2 linked regions of the Nothobranchius furzeri genome follow. The protein of the gene in region 1 purifies or fractionates together with the protein of each later gene. This does not show direct contact. Links are inferred from orthologs where the notes say so. Each region holds a gene or a part of one and is shown on either strand. Other genes may lie near its edges.

Region 1 (4,012 bases):
CTTAACCCACCTTGCCTGCTGGTGGTGGTCGGAGGGACCGGTGGGGCCAGTGCTTGGCTGCCTCGCCTGTCAGTGTGCCCCAGGGCAGCTGTGGCTACATCGTAGCTCACCACCATCAGTGTGTGAATGTGTGTGTGAATGGATGAATGATACACTGTAGTGTAAAGCGCTCTGGAGTCCTTACTCTGAGAGGCGCTATACAAGTGCGGGTCATTTATCATTTATTTACATGCGACTCCATCTTTGGTCATGAACCACGTCCCAGGTCTTTGGTTCAACTCCTTCGTTGTGACTGACCAGAGCTACACCTTCATCGCTGAAGACCCAGCCCTCACCAACTGGTCCATCTCTCCTCCATCCTACCATCACTCAGGAATGAGATCAACACACTCAAACTTCTCCACTTGAGTCAGAGACTCACCACCCTTCCAATTCAAGAGACTAGCAGCATCCGTGGTAATGACGTGGTGTTAAGGATAAAAGAAAACCAGAACAAAACCTGTGGTTTTCCCCTCCTTTGTCTATCCAAGTATTTTTATTTTAAATTAGGAATGACATGGGATGGTTTAAATGACTTGTTTGAGATCATTCAGATCAAAAGATTTAGTCCTCTTGGCCACAGCAGGAGTGTCCACCTCAACCAGGAAAACTAAAATAATACATGATGCAAGGTGAGAAGAGAACCCTCTGATGAGTGGTAGTGCAGCATCCCTCACCACTAGCTTCCTCTGAGCAGCACAAACTTCAGCGTTGAGAGGGAAACTGATGGCACAAATAAAAAAGTCTACAATACAGCACCCTCAGTCGACCTCAACAGTGGCTGGCAAGGATGTTAAAAAAATGGTAGACGTCATCTTTATCAATCACAGCCACTTCTGTGGAGCACTCAGAACATGTGACTGGGTGGTAAACCTCATCAGGGTCCGTGGAGCTGGTTGGTGCATCTGCAGGGGGTTCGACTTTCTGTCCTCTTTTCCGCTTTCTTTGCTTCCTCAGCTGCTTGGTTTTGTAGCGCAGCACCTCGTCTCGTTTCACCGTGCAGTTCATCACAAACATGGCTCGATACTGCGTCCGGTACTTCTCATGCCTGAGTGAACGCAACAAGAAGCTTCAGACCACACAAGGTGTGGATGTCACAAACGAGTTTTCAGTGAACAGACCATCAAGTTTTTCTAGTACATGAAAAAACGATGAGTGTGTGTTCTATCAACCAAATATCTAAACACTGGGCACATTTTAACGAAACTCAATGGTCGTCAGTGGATTTACAACTGATTAATGTATGAAATCAACCCGATTCAAGTTGGCCACCGTAGAACCAACTAGGGTTGTCACGGTGTGAAAATGTAACCTCATGGTCATTGTGACCAAAATTACCACGGTTTTCAGTATTATCGCAGTATTTTTTTTTAAACGTGTTACATTTTCACACAATTAAATAAACCCTGTATGTCAGGAAATATTGTCCTCAGTTTGTGTCTAAATTTTGTTTATTCTAGGGCTGTCGCTGTTGAGGAATTCCCCCTGCGGTGATTCAGGGTGGCTTAATATTGCGGTGTGCGATATTATTGCAGCACTTTTTTATTGCAGTACTATCTAAACATAATGTTTACACATTTAAAAAAGGTTAAAAATTGCCGTGCCTTCTTTTATAACACTTTACTGAATGCAGATCAAAGGGCAGTAACAACACAGATCGCAGTAACGTTTGTTTGTCCGACAGTCGGAGTCCGACTGAATTTAAAAACAACAAAATTCAGGAGAAGGTTAAACTTTTAAATGCAAATTTGGCTGCAGCATCTAACAAATAAGAAACAAGTCCCCATTTTGTTTAGTTGTTTAAAATCAAGCATAAAAAATTACATGTACCGGGCGCCGGGCACTATCATTTCACTTTCACACACACGAATGACGGTGATTTATAGCTCGGTCACGTCCTTGTTACCCACAAGGAAAACCAGCATGTTAACCGTATACGGTTTGAGAGAGGATCTGAGAGGGGTGGCAACATTTGCAGCAACACTGAAAACCCTCACGGATGGTGCGCTCGTTGCATTAACGCACACGTACTTGCGTGCGACTCTGGCGAGCAAAGGGAATCTCTCCCGGTTGTTGCTCCACCATCTCGGGGGGGTTTCTTTAGGGTGGATGCATTCCTCCTGCAGGTAGCGAGTGAGCTCCAGCTCGGCTCAAACTCTCTTCGGGACGGTTGCAGAAGCAGTGCTTGTCCGGGACTTCAGCAGGTCTCCGAGCGTTTATTTATTTATTTATTTGCCGCTGGTGGCAGCTCTGTCTTGGCCAAGGACTCTGGCTGCGCAGCAGCTGACGTACTGAAAACCAAAGTGCTCCCAAAGGAGCGAAGTAACGTTTCGTTTTGATACCAGTGCAGCCATCCTTCTCAACATGCATCATTGAGTTGAATCAAGTTCAGTAATCGCGGTGGCCCATGATGCAGCACGATGGGTTTCTTCATATTGCGATATTTCATTTTTGCGGTTACCGTGACAGCCCTAGTTTATTTGTTTACATTTTTCCCCTTTAGTCTTTAAAATACCAATATTTGCCCATAACTTCTTATTTTATGTCTGTTTGATGTCATCATTTAAAAATATTAGATCAGATGATACTCAGTACTCAAGTAGCCTTCTAATCAGATACTTTTTTACCCTTACTTGAGTAATAAACCCTATATCAGGAAAATATTGTCCTCGGTTTGTGTCCTTCCAGTGAGCTTTGCAGATGTGGGAAAATGTCATCAGGCAGTAATCATTGTTAAATTCATAATTATTCTCGGAGAGAGACCAACTCTTATCTGCCCCTGGGAGCCCCGTAATGCATAGCGTCATTTCAACATGGGGGTGTCCGCGACACGGTTTATATGCAGGTAGCGGCGCTGCGGCTGCTTTATATAGCGACTCGTTGCGTTCTACCTCAACCCAAATCCTCGGATCACGCACTTTAGCTAAAATGCTAACGTTAGCTTGCCTTGCGTTGGCTGTAGAGTTGTGGGTGATGGTCACGCAGATGTGTCATGAGATTTGAAGCGTTGCTGCCTTTCACAGACACTTTTTCTGCACGTGCTGCAAACAGGATAGCCGTCTTCTATCAGCTGTCTCTCGGCATTCTTCAAATATCCAAAAGATGCCCATACTTCCCACTTTGTCTTCTTTGAGGGATAATAAATGTCCTGAGCGCTGCCGTCTCCTCCTTTGACCATTATTTCAGCTTTAGCTTCAAGAAAGTTTTGGTTGTAAACAACAAAGTGCTCATGTGCCGCCGGCAACTTCAGCAGATGATACGGTGGCTGGTAAGGGTCACCGCGCCTACACCGCAGCCACGGTAATCCACCGAGATAATATATTTAAAAAAAACAAGACGGTTATGATTATTGTCCACCTTTTTACTGGGGTTTACCGCTACACCGGTTACCGTGGCAACCAGTGATGGTGCAGATGCTGAAAGTTAACCACATAACAAGTTTACCTTAGTCTGTTTAACAAACAGACTAGTAAACAAACCCTAGTAAACACTAGGGGTGAAAGAAACGATGGCTGATATAACCGCGTTCTGTGGGCCTGACACCACAGGAGGCATTCAACCAATCACAGTCGTGCTTACTCAGTTTGTGGAGGCAGGCCACGAGGAAACACTTTGCCGTTTTCTGAAATTCATTGGCTATTTGACGTATCGATCGACTATCACATGTGATGCAGTTGGTTTGCGCCACACGCGTGACAACGGGCGATTGTGTCACTCAAAAAGTTAGAAGCTAACGTTTGGATGCTAATGAGGATGATGAGACTCATCGGAGGGAAACGTTGCATGTTGTCTGCAGTCCTTGCTGCTGGGCTGAACACAGGACTTGCTGTGGACCAGGACATCTGGATGTAAACCATCTTTCTTGAAAATGGCTCTGTTCTGTTAATGCTGCAGCTTCGAACCAGTGAGTTAGACTGACTGATACGGTTGAACCCTCGATTGCCATACCTCATTGGAATCACGAGACTCCAAG
Region 2 (4,296 bases), on another chromosome or scaffold:
AGCAGCCAAGTGTAACTCCGATAGCTTTGTGAGGGTGATTTCATGAGACAATCAACAGATTGAGACTGGCTTTGAATTTCAGCCCTGGAGAAATGAGTGTCGTCCTTTTCGCAGCAGAATCAAACTCATTCACACACGAGCTGCTGGGAAGGAACGTGAACCTCCGTTTATAACCACAAAGCAGTGAGAAGCTTCTGATGATAGTTGCAGACAGAGAAAGCAAAATTAAAAGCCTTACCCTTTCTGAGGACCCTCTTCTTAGCACGGATGTCTGTTTCGAGCTCAGCAGCCCTGATGTAGATGCGGACAGACTGTGGGAGGTGGCGAACAGCCTGAGCAACCACAGCTTTAGCCGTATCACCAGGTTGGAGCCTTGCTGCCTCTAGCCACACGTCCTCACTCTGGTTAAGAGAGAGATATTTTGTTATTGAAGGTTATCAGCATCTAGCCTTTGTGCATGGAACCAAAGCAGACACCCCTTTTACCTTAGGACACATCTCTGTGCCCTTCATGATCAAGTTCCTGGCGACCTGCAGCTTGCCCGTCACCTCTTCAAGCCTGGCAGAAGCAATCCAGGCCGGCGGGTGATGGGGATTAGTCTCTCTCACAGATTTCAACAGCAGGCGAGCCTTCTTGATGTCGCTGGGTGAGATTTAGGTGTAATTCATCAAACACACATAAGAAGTTATTTCAAAAGGAAATTTTCCTATGGGCAACTTTTCTATACCTGATGTCTCCTCCATAAGTGGGGATCATGGAGTTGAGATCTGTCAGGTAACCCTTAGGATCCACCACTGTCTGTCCACTGACTGAATCAGACACCTTAGTGGAGAGAAAAACAATAAAAACAGGTAAAATCTTGATAAATGTGAAAGAAGCTCAGGATTTAGATAGGTCTACCTGACTGAGCCTCATATCCATGAGAGTGTTTCTGGCTTGACCGATTTTCCTCATATCCAAGTCTCCAGTTCCAGGAGTCATGCTGCCTGGGTATGGTGTGTTCAGACCGCCCAGCTACCAAGACAGAAAGCAGGAATTGTGTTACAGCGTGTGTGAACAGCTAAAGAAAGCTGAATCCTTTCTCACAGCTATAACTGACACACGTAAAAGATGCTTTATATTCTGCAGAACTAAACATGGAGCCAGCTCTGTCTAAGTAAACACTGCTGTTTCCAGTTAAAGTATTTAAACATTGCATGCATGAAATCAAGTAGATAAATGAATAGTTTCAAGTTTAAACATGAGGTTGATGCTCTTAAGCAGATATTTACTGACAATATAATGCATGGCTGCACATCTCTGAACAGTTATTCTGACTCCTGCTGGGGCAAGGTGAAACTACAACAAATGTTCGGTGACCTGCTTGTAGTGTGTTTTCATGACTACTAACCCCTTGTAACGGATCAACAGATGTGTGGTTTTCTCCGGTCTGCAGGTGTTTAGAGAAGAAGCTGTCAGGGACCGGGGTGAGCTTCTCAAAGCGAGGATTCCTCTGTCGCTTGTTCCTGGCATCTCCAACTTCAGGGATGCTCAGCCACTCCTCCTCCGACACCTCTGCTAGTTTTCTCTGTAATTAAATGATAAAACAGAGATGCGTGTCTGATCCTAAGAGAGATTAATAATTGTAATTTCATGTGCCTTTGCATTACCATTTCACAAATGGCAAATAAGATCACAAATTTGTTTAAAAGCACAAAAACATGAATGCAAACAAATCAGTATGCAGAGTCAGCTGTTAACCTGCACAAAATGCATTAAAGATAGATACCTAAAAATAATGGCATCGTGAATACAATAGAATAAATGTGGAAAACTTACCTTCAGATCTGAGAACTGCTGTTGGATTTTAGGACGCTCCATACGATATTTTTCTATTTCTTCCTTTTCTCTCAGCTCCCTACGAGCAACCACAGACAGTATCAGAAACACATTAAATCAACACAGGGATGAAAAAGGGATGCTCTGTGCACTTATTTTGTAGGTGTTTGGTCTTTTTTGGTCAAGAGGTAGATTAGTTTTATAGTTTACCTTCTTTCTTTGCGCCGTTCATCCATTCTCTTGTCAAGTGCCGCATATATAGCATCTGCTTCTTCATCGTCCTTTTCATAAGGCCCACTGGAGAACAAGCTGCCAGCGTAACCATTAAACTGTACAAGGAGCAAACAGGAGTTATTGACTGGATGCACTGAAGTATTAAATGCCAACAAAAGCATTTAGTTATTGAGACCTCGTCATAGTTGGTGTCGTTTAGATCTTCGTCATCATCATCCTGATTCTTCTTCATCTGGTCACCAACCGTCCTCTTCCCTGGGGGAGCATGCCGATCATCCACGGGGTCGTTGGCATCCCGAGCAGGACCGATGTCGGACCGGGTGGTGAATCCTGTGGCACTGAAACCGCAACATAACCCTTAAGATCGGAGATTTGTCCTTTGTTGCAAACAGCACAAACCATTGTTATAATGTATTTAAAATGTTGTTTTATTTGACACTGCATGCAGAAGGTGGACAATTCAAGTTGTCAACAAACACGCAACTGGAGGAGCTAACGACTTAGCATCAAATTAGCTTACCCTCTGCCGAGACCAGGAACGTAACCTAGCGGAGCGGGCATCCCCAGAAACGGCTTCTTCTTTTTCCCCATAAGCGGAGAGGCAAGAGGTATTACAGGGGGCGCGCCACTCGCCCCTGTGCCCCCCGCGCTGGTTTTGGAGACAAGTTTAGGTGTTTGTTTTGCTCCAGAGGTAGCCATCGTTGCTGCAACGACGTGCACACTCACTAGCAGATGAACAACAGTTTAACTTCCGCTCTCGACTCCTTCCTTTTTCTTGTTTTCTGTTACAGCGCCCCCAACAGGACGGGCTGATTGATTGACCGCTAAAGTTTGCCACACGGGTGCGCCAAACTGTAGAAAATAAAATAAAAATACAATTAGATGGAATAAAGTTAAACTGAGTAAATAGTATTTATCTTTTAGGATATGCTACTCTAAACACCAAAACACAATTGTCTAAAATAGTACAATGAGGGAAAAATATATACTTATATACATGCATATATACAATGTTTATATACAACATAAACACACACACACACACACACACACACACACACACACACACACACACACACGTGATATTTATTTATACTCAATTTTAAGATATAAAAAGAAAAACTAGATAAATCATAGTATCTTCATCCATCCTAAATGAACCACCTCAAGTTGTGCAAAACTGAGAACGGTCATTTTTGACTGGCCTAATGCAGAATGCCTCATCAGTATCTGGTTCATTAAAAAAAAAAAAAAAAAAAAAAAAAAGAAAAGCTGTCTCACTCCTACGTTGGCAGTCCTGGGTTAGAGTTTGAAGTGGAGGTAGGGTAGAGTAAGATAAATACTCATACATACTGTTGTCATTTCCTCTCTAGTTTGTTTAGTAAAAAATTATTACCTAGACATTGTTTACAGAAACAACTAATGGACCTGCAGCCCTAATTAAGACAAGGATGACTCAGATGACATTTGATCCCACAGATAATTAGGTTGCCAAATTGAAAGAAATACATCATTTTTTATGCTGTTTGAAAATTGAATACAATATTTTCACTCCTTGCCTGTCTGACTGCACATATATTATATTGCTTGTAATGTACATAGTTTTAGGTCAAATGAGCCATGCATTTGTGATGATTTCCATTAATTCCCATTAGACACATGCCAACATGCTACATCAATAACTCATCTGACATTTCAGGTTCAGAAACCTACACTCAAACAGAGATGCCAGAGTGCAATAAGTAATTACATGCTAACATGACATTTTTGGGATCTATCTCATGAGATGATGTGAAACCATTCATCAATTAGTTTCAATCGCATTAACTTCAGCCGTCTTCACTCCTAGCCTGGGATCCAGCCTCTACATCTTTCTTCATTTACATCGCCTGAAGGGATGGTGTTATTTTACCCGTGGGAGAGGATGTTAGGGAAGAAAATTGACCGTCAGATGGATTAGATGCTAGGTGGTTCACATGTACAAGGACAGATTTAAATATGAAGCTTAATTCAAACTGCATTTCCTCCCATCAGTGTGTTTTATGTCCTTGTGAGTCTTTAAATGATGATTTTGTTTTGATTGAATAATTAGAACACAATAAAATGCACATTTATATATGACTAAAGGAAAGAGCCACATATCATGTGTGTGTTTATCTCAAAGCTGACCTACAGATAGCTGATCAAGGTCGATGTCAGGATGATAAATGGAAAGTCATTCCTGATACAGGCCAATATTAACAC

The links. Proteins that work in one complex are often made in the same cells at the same time.
Region 2: the proteins of eapp (region 1) and prpf6 purify together in Homo sapiens (affinity purification with mass spectrometry; 3 studies listed by BioGRID and IntAct, with this or other methods). This does not show direct contact. The link is inferred for Nothobranchius furzeri from reciprocal best matches to the Homo sapiens genes EAPP and PRPF6.

What each region holds. Positions count from the first base shown.
Region 1 is NC_091758.1:7,749,934-7,753,945, forward strand, and holds the end of eapp (E2F-associated phosphoprotein), read right to left. Parts: intron 1,088-4,012; coding exon 811-1,087; 3' UTR 503-810; downstream 1-502. UniProt on the Homo sapiens protein: May play an important role in the fine-tuning of both major E2F1 activities, the regulation of the cell-cycle and the induction of apoptosis. Promotes S-phase entry, and inhibits p14(ARP) expression.
Region 2 is NC_091755.1:59,889,525-59,893,820, reverse strand, and holds the start of prpf6 (pre-mRNA-processing factor 6), read right to left. Parts: upstream 2,807-4,296; 5' UTR 2,752-2,806; coding exon 2,573-2,751; intron 2,391-2,572; coding exon 2,228-2,390; intron 2,148-2,227; coding exon 2,029-2,147; intron 1,898-2,028; coding exon 1,819-1,897; intron 1,568-1,818; coding exon 1,391-1,567; intron 1,015-1,390; coding exon 901-1,014; intron 823-900; coding exon 728-822; intron 643-727; coding exon 486-642; intron 402-485; coding exon 239-401; intron 1-238. UniProt on the Homo sapiens protein: Involved in pre-mRNA splicing as component of the U4/U6-U5 tri-snRNP complex, one of the building blocks of the spliceosome.